2 linked regions of the Alligator mississippiensis genome follow. The protein of the gene in region 1 interacts with the protein of each later gene in a pairwise test. Links are inferred from orthologs where the notes say so. Each region holds a gene or a part of one and is shown in the gene's direction. Other genes may lie near its edges.

What was found.
Region 2: the proteins of SETDB2 (region 1) and ARL14EP interact in binary tests that used the Homo sapiens proteins (3 or more experiments, as listed by UniProt). The two-hybrid records come from large-scale screens. The link is inferred for Alligator mississippiensis from reciprocal best matches to the Homo sapiens genes SETDB2 and ARL14EP.

Annotation. Positions count from the first base shown.
Region 1 is NC_081824.1:414,414,278-414,421,257, forward strand, and holds the start of SETDB2 (histone-lysine N-methyltransferase SETDB2), read left to right. Parts: upstream 1-3,980; 5' UTR 3,981-4,225; intron 4,226-5,033; 5' UTR 5,034-5,306; coding exon 5,307-5,355; intron 5,356-6,980. UniProt on the Homo sapiens protein: Histone methyltransferase involved in left-right axis specification in early development and mitosis. Specifically trimethylates 'Lys-9' of histone H3 (H3K9me3).
Region 2 is NC_081825.1:207,226,650-207,233,998, reverse strand, and holds the start of ARL14EP (ARL14 effector protein), read left to right. Parts: upstream 1-4,341; 5' UTR 4,342-4,522; intron 4,523-5,010; 5' UTR 5,011-5,229; intron 5,230-7,349.

The DNA of each region.
Region 1 (6,980 bases):
GTAACCCCCAACACACCTACAGGCTTGGTGGCACCAAACTATCTAGCACCACAAATGAAAGGAACCTGGGGGTAATAATAGACCACAGTATGAGTATGAGCTGGCAGTGCGATGAGCCAGCAGATGCTGTAGCCAGTAGGACAAATAATACTCTGGCATGCATCAATTGATGCATCTCCAGCAAAGACAAGGAAGTGATGCCAAAAATGCCTCCACCTTTCCCTGTACATTAAAATCATGGGATAAGAAGCAGACTTCAGCCAGGTTTTAGCCAAAAACCTAACTTTGTCAGATGTCACTGTTGACGGGAAAGCTTTAAAAAAAAAAAAAAAAAAAATGCTCAACTGTTTTGAGATGTACAGAGCATTTTCTCAGGCAGTATCTGGTTGCTGTAACTTTATGGGTTGCTGGAGCCTGTGTGCTGTGGAAGGCTGACACTAGCAATCCGGCTTCCAGATCCCATAAGTGATGTAGAAAACACAACTCAGATGCATGCTTGGTAGCAAAAGCTCAGAAACGTTTGTTGTCAGACAGAACACCAGCTGGTCTGATTAACCGCTAGTCCAATCTGGAGAAGCAGACTGGTAGAGACCCCATACGTTATTCATGCACCCCTAGGTCTTTCTACAAGGAATGCCTCTCAACTCCTATATTTATACTTGTGTCTTCTTCCCCCACCCCCATGTCATGCCCACTCTTTTCTCTCCCTCTCTGTTGAGATTCATAGACATTAGGGTCCAAAGGAACCCTCAGTAGGTCATCAAGTCTGACCCCACCCTGCCCTGGGCAGGAAAGAGCGCTGGGGTCAGAAGACTCCAGCTAGATGCTTGTCCAGTCTCCTCTTGAAGACCCTCAAGGTAGGGGAGAGCACCATCTCCCTTGGAAGCCCATTCCAGATTCTGGCAATCCTTACTGTGAAGTTCTTCCTAATGACCAACCTAAATCTGCTCTCCGTCAACTTGTGGCCACTATTCCTAGTTACTCCAGGGGGTGAAAATAGAGCACCTCCTAGTCCCTGCTGCCCTCCCCTGATGAATGTATAGGCAGCCACAAGATAACCTCTGAGCCTTCTCTTGCAAAGACTGAAGAGATCTAGGTCCCTCAATCTCTCCTCATAGGGCCTTGCCTGCAGGCTTCTGACCATATGAGTGGCCCTCCTCTGAACCCTCTCAAGATTCTCCACATCCCTCTTGAAGTGCAGCACCCAAAACTGGATGCAATACTTCAACTGTGGCCTGACCAGTGCTGCATAGAGGGGAAGCATCATTTCCCTGGGCCTGTTTGTCATGCATCTGCTAATGCATGATAAAGCACGGTTAGCTTTATTGATCACTTTATCACACTGACAACTCATGTTCATCTTGGAGTCAGCTACGACTCCAAGATTCTTTTCCACTGCTGTGCTGCTGAGGTCATCCTCCAGCCTGCAAGTGTGTTGGTGGTTCTTTTTGCCCAGGTGCAGCACTTTGCACTTGTCTTCGTTGAACTGCATCCTATTTTGTTCTGCCCATTTTTCCAACCTGTCCAGATCTGCCTGGATGCATTCCCTACCCTCTGGTGTGTTAACTTTGCCCCATAATTTGGTACCATCTGTGAACTTGGACAGGGTGCTCTCTACACCCTTGTGCAAATCACTGATTAAGACATTGAATAACCGGTCCAAGGACTGAGCCTTGTGGGACTCCACTGCCTACATCTTTCCAGGTCAATATCGACCTGTCCACCACCACTCTGTGTGCAACCCCTAAGCCAATTTGCTACCCACCTGACCATGCAATCATCTACATCACAGCCTGTCAGTTTATTTATGAGAATGGAATGTGATACCATATCAAAGGCCTTCTTAAAGTCTAGGTAGATGACATCTATCACGACTCTTGTGTCTACCCTTAATTATTCACCCTTAATTATTTTGGGGGGGGCAGACAGAACTGCAGCTCCCACCTGTAACTCAGAACCATTTTTGCAAAGTGTTCAGAGTTACACTGTTAGTCCAGACCAAACAGAAGTTCAGTTTGTTCCAGGGGGAGGGGAATCTAGCTGTGGCCTGCGAGCCTGCAGCCAGGTTCCCATAGCAACAGACTCTCTCTCTCCCTGTCTGTCTGCCAGTGCTCCTTCCAGAATGGGAAGGGGGGAGGCAGCGGATGGGGCTGCCTAGCTGGTGCTGAAGGGTGAGTGAACTGGAGCCCCTCCACCTCAAGGGAGCTGAAATACACTCACCCCATGGTGGGGGAAGGGGGCTGAACCCCCCCCCCCCCCGACTGAACTCCATCTGCCCCCTTTCCCCCTCCCTCCCATTCTGAAAACAGCAACAGGCTGGGAGCTGGGCAGACAAGCCACAAGAGATGCTAGTCTGTAACATCTTTATCTGACACCTCATGCAATGACAGATCAGATTTTCACCCAATGGGCTTTCTTTTAAGTTGTTTGCAGCCATGCCCTTGTGTTTGGTTAGGGCTATAAATTGCTTTCTGTGGCCGGACTGGTGGAAAATCATCATTTCTCTTTGCACCCTTTGTTTGCCAAGTTGACACATCTGCTCTTACACTTGTTCAGGTGAGATATTAACTAATGCAACTGCTGCTGTTGTGCTCTTTTGGGGTCTTTCTGCTTGTTACAGCAGCTTTATGTATTTCTTTCTAGCTCAACCCCTTTCTGCTGCTTTCCAGCACTTTGGCTTAACAGAGCTACAGCTTGGCACAGGGGTTGTCAACTAGGGGTATGTGTACCCCTGGGGGTACTCGAGCGGTACGCACAGGCAGCCGCTGTTTGAGCTTTCCCCACCCCGCAGGGGTGCGTGGCCAGGGGAAGCTTGCACGTGGGGGCTGCTGCCACTCTGCATCCAGCCACACGCCACCCCCCCACTGACATCCAGCCACGCACACTCCACCGCAGCCAGGGGTACACTGCTCTGTGTCTAGCCACCTGGGAGGTTGTACAACAATCAAAAAAGGTTGAAAACTGGAAGGCCTATAAAGATATTGTCACTTTTTATGTGACCAAGCCAAAAGGGAAAAAACCTATTGGAGGACAGAGAAAATATTTGGGGGGTAGGGGGGGGTCGAGCACACGTTTATGTGTGCATGCACCCCCCCACCAGTTTGTGGGTCTGTCATGGGGAAGGGCATGGGGGGAAGGGCATGGGGGGCAGATCAAAGCCCCTGCAGGGAGGGAGAGAGTGGGCCAGACACAGGGTTGAATGCGGCCCCGCGGCCGGGGCGGGTCGTGGGACACTCGGAGCTCGGGCGGCTCGTCCAGGGGCGCAGGGGCACTGGTACAGACTTGTGCCCACGGACAAGCCGCTTGAGCTCCGAGCATCCCACAACCCGCCCCGGCTACTGTCCCTCTTCCCCCCCGCCGCGGGGGCCTCGATCTGCCCCTTCCCCACGACACAGCTCCGCACGCCGCTGGCTACGCGTCTGTCGGTTCGCGCCCCGCCCGGGCTGCCCCGCGGCCCTGCCCCGCGCTTGGGGGCGGTGTGTCCCGTTAGCCCCGGCCTCCCGCCGCCGCGAGAGGAGGAGGATGGCGACTCGGATCTCCCCGGCCGCGGCCGAGCAGCGCCCAGCGCAACGCACGCCCCGTCCCGCCCCTGGGCGCTGCAGTTGGCATCCCGGGCAGTGGTCCTACCCCGGAGCCGGTGCTTCCGACCAGAGTGAGGGCAGCGCGCCCCGCCCCGCCCCGCCCCAGCCCCAGCCCCAGCCCCACCCCTTTCCCTTATCCAACATGGCAAACAGCCCTACCTCTCCTCCACGTACCGCACCTCGGCTCCTGGCCGCTCCGCTTCCGGCCGCTTCACTTCATTGGCGAACGCGCTCTGGACAAGACACCCACTGTGGCCAATGAGAGCGGACGCCGAGGAGCCTTTTCTCGGTGCCTATTGGCTCGTATCTCCTTGCCCCGCCCCTTACGCCTGTTGTACGCAACGTGCGGGGCCTCCCCGCGCCGGTAGGGAGTGCTGGCCGCGTGACCAATCAGCGCAGCACGTTTCAATTTCCGCCCATCTAAAGCCCGCCTTCTTTCTTCTGCACATGCGCTGTTGCTCCGGGCACATGCTTTCCCTTAACTAGCAAGCTGCAGTGATACGCATGCGCGCTCTCGGTGGTTTGTTGCGGCGGGCTGGGTTTAGTTAAGAGTCTGGGGCGTTGTGGAGCTGGGCCTCGAAAGGTTTAATGCTTCTTCTCTCCCCTCCGGGCTTCGCCGTGCAGGAGGCTCCGGGCGGTGACAGGTACCGCGCGGCGGGGGTGGGAATGGGGCGGCTGCTGTTTTATTTTCAGGTCAATATGGTATAGGCATGTATACATATACATGTTATATGTGTACACACGCACATGCTTTTATAGTCTTGTGTGTATGTTTGCTGATACATACATATGTGTATCTGCATATATGTATGCATGTATTAGGTGTGTTTGTACATTCTACGTATAGCATATGCTGTAACTCACTTCATCAGATGCCGAAGGCCTGACCAGCCGGCCACCAAGCACTGTAACCTTCTGGGACCTTGGAGCAGCAGTTTGTAAACAGCTGGCTTTAAAAAATGACCTGAATGTTAAATTGCAGAACAAGGAATCACCTTCAGCCTCGTGGGCCTGGGAGGGGTGAAGCCGGGTCTCAACAGAGACTACGGATTTTTCTTCTGTTGCCTGAACAAGCTTTTATAGCCCCAGTGGTCCTCAAAGAGTGAACTGCCTTGTTGATCCCTATAGACTTATTCAGCCTACCTCTCTCATTAGTGCCTCCTCCCTTTATCCTTTGTATTCAAATTCCTTTCGATTCAGAAGATTTATTTGCATCTTGTAAATTTAACCAAAGCATATGTCTGGCACATGCTTTTGTGAGATGAAGTTCACTTCATCAGATCTTACTAGCATTTGCCAATTGCTGTAAAGTTGTTTTCAATATTTTTAATCAAATCAACAAAAATAAAGAAAATGTTTGTGCTATAGCATTGCAGCCTTGGCAGCTTCTTTGGTAACATCTTGTTCCAGTGGATACTATGCAAACTCTTTTTTTAAATTTTTTATTTCTAGAGGAGTGGACTACTTTGATCAAAGGATGAAAAGTACTTGTGCGAGTTGAAGAGCGGCATCTCGGAGAGTTTACATTACAACGATAAAGCACTGCTGATGAGAGAAGATGCATGATGTTTAAAATTACTAGCCATCGCTGGAAATGTTGTCCGCAACTCTGTAGGAGAGCAATATAATAGATTGGGGTGTGCAGTTATAGGGCAGCAAGTCCATAATGTTGTTCTCCTTCATTAGCCTGGATTTAGTAACATTAATATTCTAACTAAATTCTGGATGCATGATACGTGTGTACAACTACTCCAAAGGATGGAACAAACTAAAAGTAAGCTTTTAAAAATACAGCATTTTAAGAGACGGCTAGCTCTTTTAAGGGAATTTTATCACATTTTTAAGAGTGAACCTGGTAGGAATGATAAACTTTCCCTTTGAAACTGGTCACCCATCTAGAGCAGTGGTATCCGATTCATCTGGCCCCATGGATGCAGAGTGTGGAGCTATGTCATCTGCCCTGTGGGCCTTGAATTTGCCGGTGGTTGTGTTAGTGCTTAATTGCTGCAACTCTCAGGGTCTTGGCAGCTGCTGCTTCTCCTGCCATCAAATTTCCAGCCCTGTGGAAAGCTTTGCAGGCCAGATGATGCAGCTCTGTGCTCTGGATCTGGCCTGTGGGGTTCACCGTGGCTTCAGAATTTGGCAGCAGGACAAGTATCAGCATTGCAGGAGAGGCAGGTTGAGGGACTAAGGACTCATCATTGGTTTTCTGTTTTAAACAAAAAAGCTTTCTATAAGCCATATCTAAGGAAGAAGGGATGCTTGTGGTACTATATAGGTTAGTAAAAAAATAATGTGAGAAACAAACATTGAGTTGGACTGGTCTGAAAATGTTTATGCATTATTTTTTCTAAAAAAATACACTTAGTAGCATGCAATAATCGTTTTGTTAGTTGAAGTAAGATCATGATTATATACAAATTAGAAGCTTTTTAATAAGAACTAACATGACCAATCCAATTGATTTAAATTATTCCAGCTAAGTTATCATTGAGGTGCATAAAACTGAAAAAATTGTTCAGAAGAATATTTTATCAGGAAAAAATGTAACCTTCCTTTGGTTGTCCTTTCTTTTTTCAACTTTGTGTGACAAGGTATTAATGGTAAACGTTCTCTTTGAAATTGGACACCCATGTTAGAGCAGTGGTATCCAGCTCATCTGGCCTCCCAGGGTGCACAGAGTGGCAGGAGCCCTCCCACCCCCACATCCCCTGGACGAGCAGCGGCTCCGTTCCACACCCTGCCCTGGCTGGGCAGCACTTGCCACAGCCCCACTTCCTCCCTCACCGTGGGGGGCCTTAATCTGGCCTCCCCCCCGCCCCTTCCACCACAACAGACTTACCAGCTGGCCATAGCTCTTGAAGCTGCCAGGCTGTGCTTCGTGCATATGCTTGGGCCATTTATCAGCCACAACAGGCTGATTTCTGATACAGTCAACTTTTTTTATGTTGGTGCTGATCCAACATCAGACTGATGTCGGTGCACTACTAGCTATGACCCTAGTCTTGCGATCTCTGGGCTGTCAACTGTGCACCTTAGTGCCTGTGCCACCCCATCCTCCTCCTTTGGTGGTGCCCAGATTTAGAAAGGAAAACATTTGAGTCCCTGCTAAAGGTCTTTCTGGTCATTGCTGGACTCTGGTTGGGCTGAAACTCAAGCCCTACTTCTCTGTGGGTGAGGAGAACTATGCCATTAATCACCAGCACTTGTTTGATAATCCATCAGAAGCTTTACTGACTACAGAATTATCCATTAAACACAAAGCAATTAATCAACTAGGGTTGACCATATACAAGTATTCAACTCTACTGGGATTGCCAGAAAATAAACAGGCAGTTACAAAAACTGTGTGTGTTAATGTGACTCCTCACCATGTCTCACTCTGTCTGGAGCTGTTAC
Region 2 (7,349 bases), on another chromosome or scaffold:
CATTGACAGTAACTCACTCAATAAAAACTGTAACTTACTCTCCCAATTTGGAGGTGACTATACTTGCAGAACAACGAAGGAAGAATCGCAAGTGTAGGCCGGATCAGATTGATCACCTGAACCACCCTCTCCGTGAACACGAATCTCTTAGTTCACGCTGAAGCTGCAGAGTGCCCGAAAGGGACTGAAAGAAGTGGACTTAGTCCTATCAGTATTGAGGCCAGCCCATTGAATCGTATTGCTGAGGCGAACCCATTGAACTGTACTACTGAGGCCAACCCATTAAATTGTACTACTGAGGAATGAAACCGTATTTAGGTGTTTGGCTTCTCGGAATTCTAGGATTGTAAGTATATTATGAAAAATAATAGTATTGATTCAAATTTAACTTTTAGTTGTAATTGCAGTTGTTTTTGTAATACTCATTCTTACAGCATTGTTTGGGAAGGAAGTGCATTTGGAGCATTGTTTCTGATATATGTAGTTATTGTGTTCTTAATGTTTGTGGTATTTCTAAGCTAAGCAGTGTTATATACATAGCAAAGAGTTTTAAAATAAAATTGTGTTGTACGAATTAAGTGTGCAATCATTGTGAAATCGTGCAATCAACTAACTACTCCCCCAGCCAGTGCATCAAAACAAATCAGTAAATTGTGTGGGATTTTCTCTATTCCATAACCCACTAGAGACACATCCCTTGAGAGATTCTACACATGTAATTGAAAATAGAATTTATACCATGTTGAGTCCCTTAAATTTCATAAATATATATTTTTGGACTTGATTACAGAAAGCATTGAAAAGCCAAGTGTCTATCAAATATGTTCAGTCATTAATCCGTATCTATGTGTGTGATATCTCAAAATATCTACGTATTTTAAGGTCAGATACTGTAGGCCTCACTTAAGATTTACATCGGCAAAACATTAATCAAACTCAGTATATCAGATCCTAAAGTCTCTTCACCATTTGTGTTTGGTAATTAGTTAGATAAACCAGTCCTGGAAATAATGGAAATGTTGCCTAAAATGTAGAAGCTATGTAAGGAAAGGACTGCCCATAATTAAATACATTTTTATTGCTGTTCTGTGTTAGCATCAATTTATTAATTTCTTTTCTTCAGCTATGTGATTTATTCTTACTGATATTCTACAGCAGGATATATAGTCCTATTTTCTCCTGATATGACGCAATTAAGCATACAGTGGTAAACAATAAGACTAGAAACTTCAAATTAGCCTTATTTGTTGGTTCCAATTCTTGAAAGTTCAGTTTAGGAGAGGGGTGGGCAAAATGTGCCCTCTGTGGGGCAGATGCGGCCCACCAAGCCATTCTATCTGGCCCACGGGGCCCCTAAAAAAATTAGAAAATTAATATTTATCTGCCCCTGGCTGCCTGTCATGTGGCCCTTGATGGCTTGCCAAAACTCAGTATATGGACCTCCACCTGAAATAATTGCCCACCCCTGAATTAGGATGAAGAATAGTTACCAGAAAATGCAGCTTTGAATTTTTTTTCTTTGCCAAACTACATTCTTTTGGATAGAATCTGCCACCACCAGAAGTGGATCCAGGATTTTGGTAAAGGGGTGCAGAAGCAGCAACCAGTGCTGGAGGTGTGGCTTCATCCTCCAACCAAGGCAGGTGGACTACCCCATGAGATTTAAATCCCCCAATCTGGTAAAAATCTTCCCTCCCCTCTCTCAGTCCCTTCCCTTCCATTCCATGCTCAGCAGCACTTCTCTTCCCCTCTCACTCTCCCCTCTCCACATCCCCTGACTAAATTGGGAGAGGTTCCAGAGTTGCTCCTGTCTCAGTCCAATCAGGCTGCATGGACAGCATGGCTCAGACAGGGACAACAGCAGTAATGGGTGGGTTCTCCTTCTCTGAGCCTACTCCCAGACTGGCAAGGAGCACCCAGAGGATTGGGCAGGAAGGAGAAATCTGCCCATTGCTACTGTATCAAGCTGAGCCTGGTTACCCACGAAGCTTGACTAGAGCAGGGCAGGAGTGGTTCTGGAGCCACCCCAGCCCCAAAGCAGCCATGGACAACAGCTCCGGTGGATTGTGGGGCACAGGGGGCCCTGAGCACAGAAGGGATGAGGAGAATTCTTACTTGCTTCAGAAATGTAAAGAAGTCCCAGACTGCTACTCCCACAATGCCAACTGAAAGAGGAGTGCATCTGTGCTACTGCATCCCCTCTGGATCTGCCACTGGCCACCACAAACATGAAAAGGGAGTTTAACATTTCACAATAAGATCCATGCCTCAGGTAGCCATTGTGGGTATCATTGCATACTGTGACAGAGCCCTTATTTAATATTTCCACCAACACATTTCTTTATATACTTCTCAGCTTGAGTGTTGGATTTCATCAGTATAATAAGATCCTCCACCCATTTGTCCAGCAAATTAAAGAAAACAAACGTCTCCCCATCCACCAGGACCTCAACAATGCACCTCACCATTGCCTAAAGTTGTACAAGCCTTTCTGGATCCATGCGCCTAAACTTCAACAATAAGACTTCAATGCTGATGAAGCTTGGAAAACCAAATGGAATTCACAGGAAGATCCAAATAAACATCTTGTGATAGATTCAACGCTAAATGTCCAGGCTTGATCTCCCACGACGCTTATGGGCAACTCTAATCCATATCTGTACAAAACACAGGAGATGTGGATACTTGATACACAAATGGAAAATTAGAAACTATCCCTTGCGTGACTGTGGTCACTCAGAACAGACCATGGAACATATAACGACTCAATGTCTGATCCACAGATATAAAGGAGGCATCACAGCAATATACTCTGCTGCTCCTGACACAACTTTCTGGCTCAGCCACCTAAATGTAAAATTATAGTAGCTGTTCTATATCTCCATCAGCCATACAAAAGAAGACGAAGAAGACGTATAATCAATATTATGAGTGAAATCTTCAGCCTTACTCCAGCCCTTCACAGTATAAAAATGTTGGTGCAGCAAGACATGGATTCCCTCAGTGCAGGCACAACAGAAGGCTACCTCTGAAGGACCTCTTCACAAGCCTGGGTGTTAAAAGCGCACTGGTCAGACAGCACTACAGTCATGCCTAACAGCTAATTTGCGTACACCTCTAATTTGGGATACTGTAATTTGGGCAGGCCTTCAGAGCCTACATTACAGCAGCAGCCTCTCTAACCCTGCAACAGGCTATGAGTACCGGGCACAACAGTGGTTTCATGCAGCGTTTCCCAACCAGTGTGGTGCAGCACAAAAGTGTGCCATCAAAAATGAACAGATGTGGCATGAAATTTTGCCATGGCAATGGGCTACAACAGGTATGAGGATGGGGAATGCCTTAACTGGTGTGCCATGGAAAATTTTTATTAATGTAAGTGTGCCTTGGGCTGGAAAAGGTTGGGAAACACTGGCTTAAGGGACAACAGCACACTGCAGCCCTCCACAGTAGTCCCACTGTAGTTTTTCCATTCTAATCATTGCTGATTTGAGGCACAAGGTGGTTTTCTACACGACAGGGCCACATTTGCATGGACTAAACTTGGAAGCTTCCATCGGCAATTAGGACTGCTGCTCAAGCACCTCCCAATCAGGAATAACAGAGAAAACAAATAGTCATAAATGGCTGTAGCTGTGCGCATAGTTGATGATTTTAGAAAATAGGGAGAGGTAGTTAGACTTGTTAGCCTGCAGTCTGGCAGATGGCAGGGTACACAGGCACCTTTAAAGACTAGCTATATAACATACAGAGAGAGCACACACTCCCCTGAACCCATGTTCCTTTCTCATAAATGTGCTTGAAACCAGGCACATCTACATGGTCATTTAGATACTGCACGTTTAGTTTAGCACTTGCTTAATAAAGTACTAGTAGCCCATGGTTATTTTGTGATGTTTCCTGCACGTGAGCCTAATAACCCTGCACAGTATGCTATTTGCATGGTTTTTAACCACCACACTACTGCACAGCGTTATTAAGCTAAGCGGCTCCTCTAGACACACCCACTAAAGAGGCACCACTAGAGACTTAACTAGTTACGGTGTTACTCAAAACTAAGACAACCCTCCATTTAATACGACTTCCCCCAATACTACAGTTTTACACATGGAAAAATATATAAACTTGTTTTGTTTTTCCATGCATCGAATGTAACTGTAGGACAGTCTCTACCCTTCACCCCTCCCACCGCTGCCCACGGCGAGGCGCAGCGGACTAGCTTTCCCTCCGCCCCGGTAGGCTCCACCCTCATTGCAGAGGGGGGCTGCGCGCGCAGCTTCCCCCAGGAGGGAGCCCACGGGCAACTGGTGACGTCAGCGCGGCTCTGGCTCCACCCCCTGGAACGGAAACGATGCTCTAGCCCTGCTGGCGGTTCCGCTCTCTCTATGCTTCGCCAGTGGGCCGCAGCCGGAAGGGGGACGAAGTTTTAATGGCGGCTTCAAGCACCGCGGCTGTCGTGGGGGGGACGCGCGAGTCCGGCTCCGGGGCCGCGGGGCAGGGGCGGAAGAAAGCCTACGGCAAGGTACGGCGCAGGGTGGGAGTGGGGGAGGGGTGGCGGTTGGGAGCTCCCTTCCCCCTCCCCCCTCTGCGTCCCCTGTGACGTCAAGGCGGAGGGAGGGGGGGGAGCGGGCGGGGTCACGTCTCGCCTGCTCGCCCGCTGTCGCTTGTGCCTGCCCCGCTGAGCTGTTGCTCCATGCCCTGCCGCCTCCTGTCCCTCTTCAGCAGCTGCGTGCTCGCCCCCCAGTAACGCTGCCTCCAGCCTTGCCTCTCACCAGCGCTTCGCCGAGCACCCGCGTGGGCCCGCGCCTCGCTCTGTCTGTTCACGCTTCTCAGGGCCGACTAGGAGCTGCCGCACCTGCGAATGCAAATCTTAAAAAGAAAAAAAATTATAATAAAAAAGAGGAGCCCACATCTACTCCGCTCTGGGAAATCCTGCGATTCGCTCCGTTTGAGCTGAAAGCTGCTCTAAGAGGAAAAAAAGAGAACCGTGTCTATTTCTTCCCTCTCCAGCTTGAAAAGCCATCTGCTTCTGCGTTTGTGCCAAGGATGCGCCTATAAATCAGTTGAGCGAGGACTGTAACGTGCTTCCTGTAAACGTGTGATTGTGGAAGGGCGCAGTGAAGGCGCTTCCTCAAAGTATGAGTGCAGCTGGCGCTGCAAGTGATGCCCTCGGCCGCCAGTATGGATGCCTGCCAAGGACAGCAGTTGACAAGCTGACAGTTTCTCAAAGTAAACTTGGCTTAGGGGAATAGCGAGTGGTTTTAATCGTTTATTTCGAGTGCACCTTCCGAGCATTCAAGCCTTTGACAAACCTGCACGCTTGAAAAGTTGTTTAAATTATCTCAGTTCTCTGTTTTGCCCAGCTCACGTGCTGTATGGGGAGTAAGAGTTATTCAGAAATATTTCACTTATTTGGAAAGGAGACAAGAAACAAAAGCACCCCTAGTACGAAGCCTGTGCTGTTATCTTAGCCACATACTGCTTGTTATATCTAGCCTGAAGTTATATTTTTGTGAATGTCAAAGTTACTGCATAAGTATTGGACATTTGCATAATGATTTGATTCAGTGTGTGGTATTTATCCGTCTCTTCTTTAAATGTAATTTGTAATATGAAATCTCCAAAGGAATTTGGAAAAGAGGTTCCCCTAGGGGTAAAAAAAAAAAAAAAAAAAAAAAAATAATAATAAAGCAGCTCAAACGGTTATTAGGAAGTTTAAAATACTCAAGGAAATAATTAGTGTAGCATACACTCTCTATCAAGGAATGAAGACCAAAATGGTGGACAAATGTTAGTAAAAATATTAGTGGTAAAAATATTAGACAGAAAAAAGAACAGTTTTTGTATCCTTTGTATATCTGTTCTAGAAACAACCAAGAGTTTATGGTCACTTTAAAGCGGCACCACCGTAAGCATGAATGTCATTTGCTTTCGCTCAAAAGCTAAAATTCTTAACATATAAGGGAGGCAACATATAGTTTACTCCAGACATTTAACAGTTATTTCTCTGCATGTAGACTGTTTCCTCCAGTGTAGTCAATAAATCCTGCCTGAGAGCCAGATGGGAAGGAGGTTGGGGAAGGAGCAGACTCTCCTGCTTGCCTTATGTTTATCAGATAATCCTAATTCAAAGGTCTTTAATGATGAGAATTTTAAACCTAATGCAGGCGGGAACATCCATTTCTTCTGCTTCCCTTTCTACTCTGCATGAGGCAGTTGCACCTGGTGATGGCAACTTGGAGAGAAACGTAGAAAACACATGGATAAATCTCCAGGCTGCCAGACGCCAGGTGGGGCTTACCCATGTGCTTCTGTTTCTGGGAGGAGCATGGGTGGTCATGTCAGAAAGGACTGCAGCAGAAGTGGGCATTCCTGTCTGTATGAAGTCCACCAGATAACCCTAACGCAGGCAGGAGCTCATGCACCTACCACAGCCACTTTCTGATCTGGGCAGTTCCACTTGGCCATGGCTGCAGCTGCTGTTGCAAAGCCCCCGTTGAGAACCACTGAAATAAACTTAGGCTGTGGAACAGTGGTTCTCAACCAGGGTGGTACCAAATTCAGAAATGTTATAGAGGGGTGCCCTGAATGCAAAAAGGCTGAGAACCAGTACTGTATGGTGTAATATTCGTCACTGTTTCCATGCTATCCAAAACTATTGCTGGGGATCCTGCACATCTCATGGAATTTAAATAAATAAGGAGTTAGGAATAATAGAATATAATAATAAACAATAGTAAAAGCTGTTGCTCTATAGGATAAATCTGTCTTGAAACTAGTAGGGAATTATGTACAGAACTGGCTAGAAGTTTTGCACTGGAAATGGCTTTCATGCTCGCTAAAAATGGTGCCCCCACAAATAATTTGATTTTGGAAACATCTGTCATGCAAAAGACCACTAAGCTATTGTGTATATAAAAAGACATAATTATAACAGCCATGCATAGTCATAATTACATTCTAATTATGAAACTAAATTTCAAATGCACTTATTTTTTTAGGAAAACTCTAAAGCATTACAATCAAGGGGATTTCTGCTGCAAAAGCTCCAAACAATGGCTTTACACAGCCTTTTGTAAAAAAAAAAGAAAAAAAAGAGAACCTATTAACTTATCTGTTTCATATCAGGAAATCATTGAGTCTTAGACAGTTGGTGTCATTTTCTTTTATATTGGTCTAGATGTTTCATGAAATATTCAGTTTTCCTCTTCCTGAAAGATTATAATTTTGGGGTGGTTATCTTTTTGTCTGATGTGACAGCCCCAATAGTTCTAGAGTTCTTTCTTCTAGGGTACAAGTGGCCAATACTTCAATAAATTGATAGTACAGTGTTTTAGGACAAATATGTA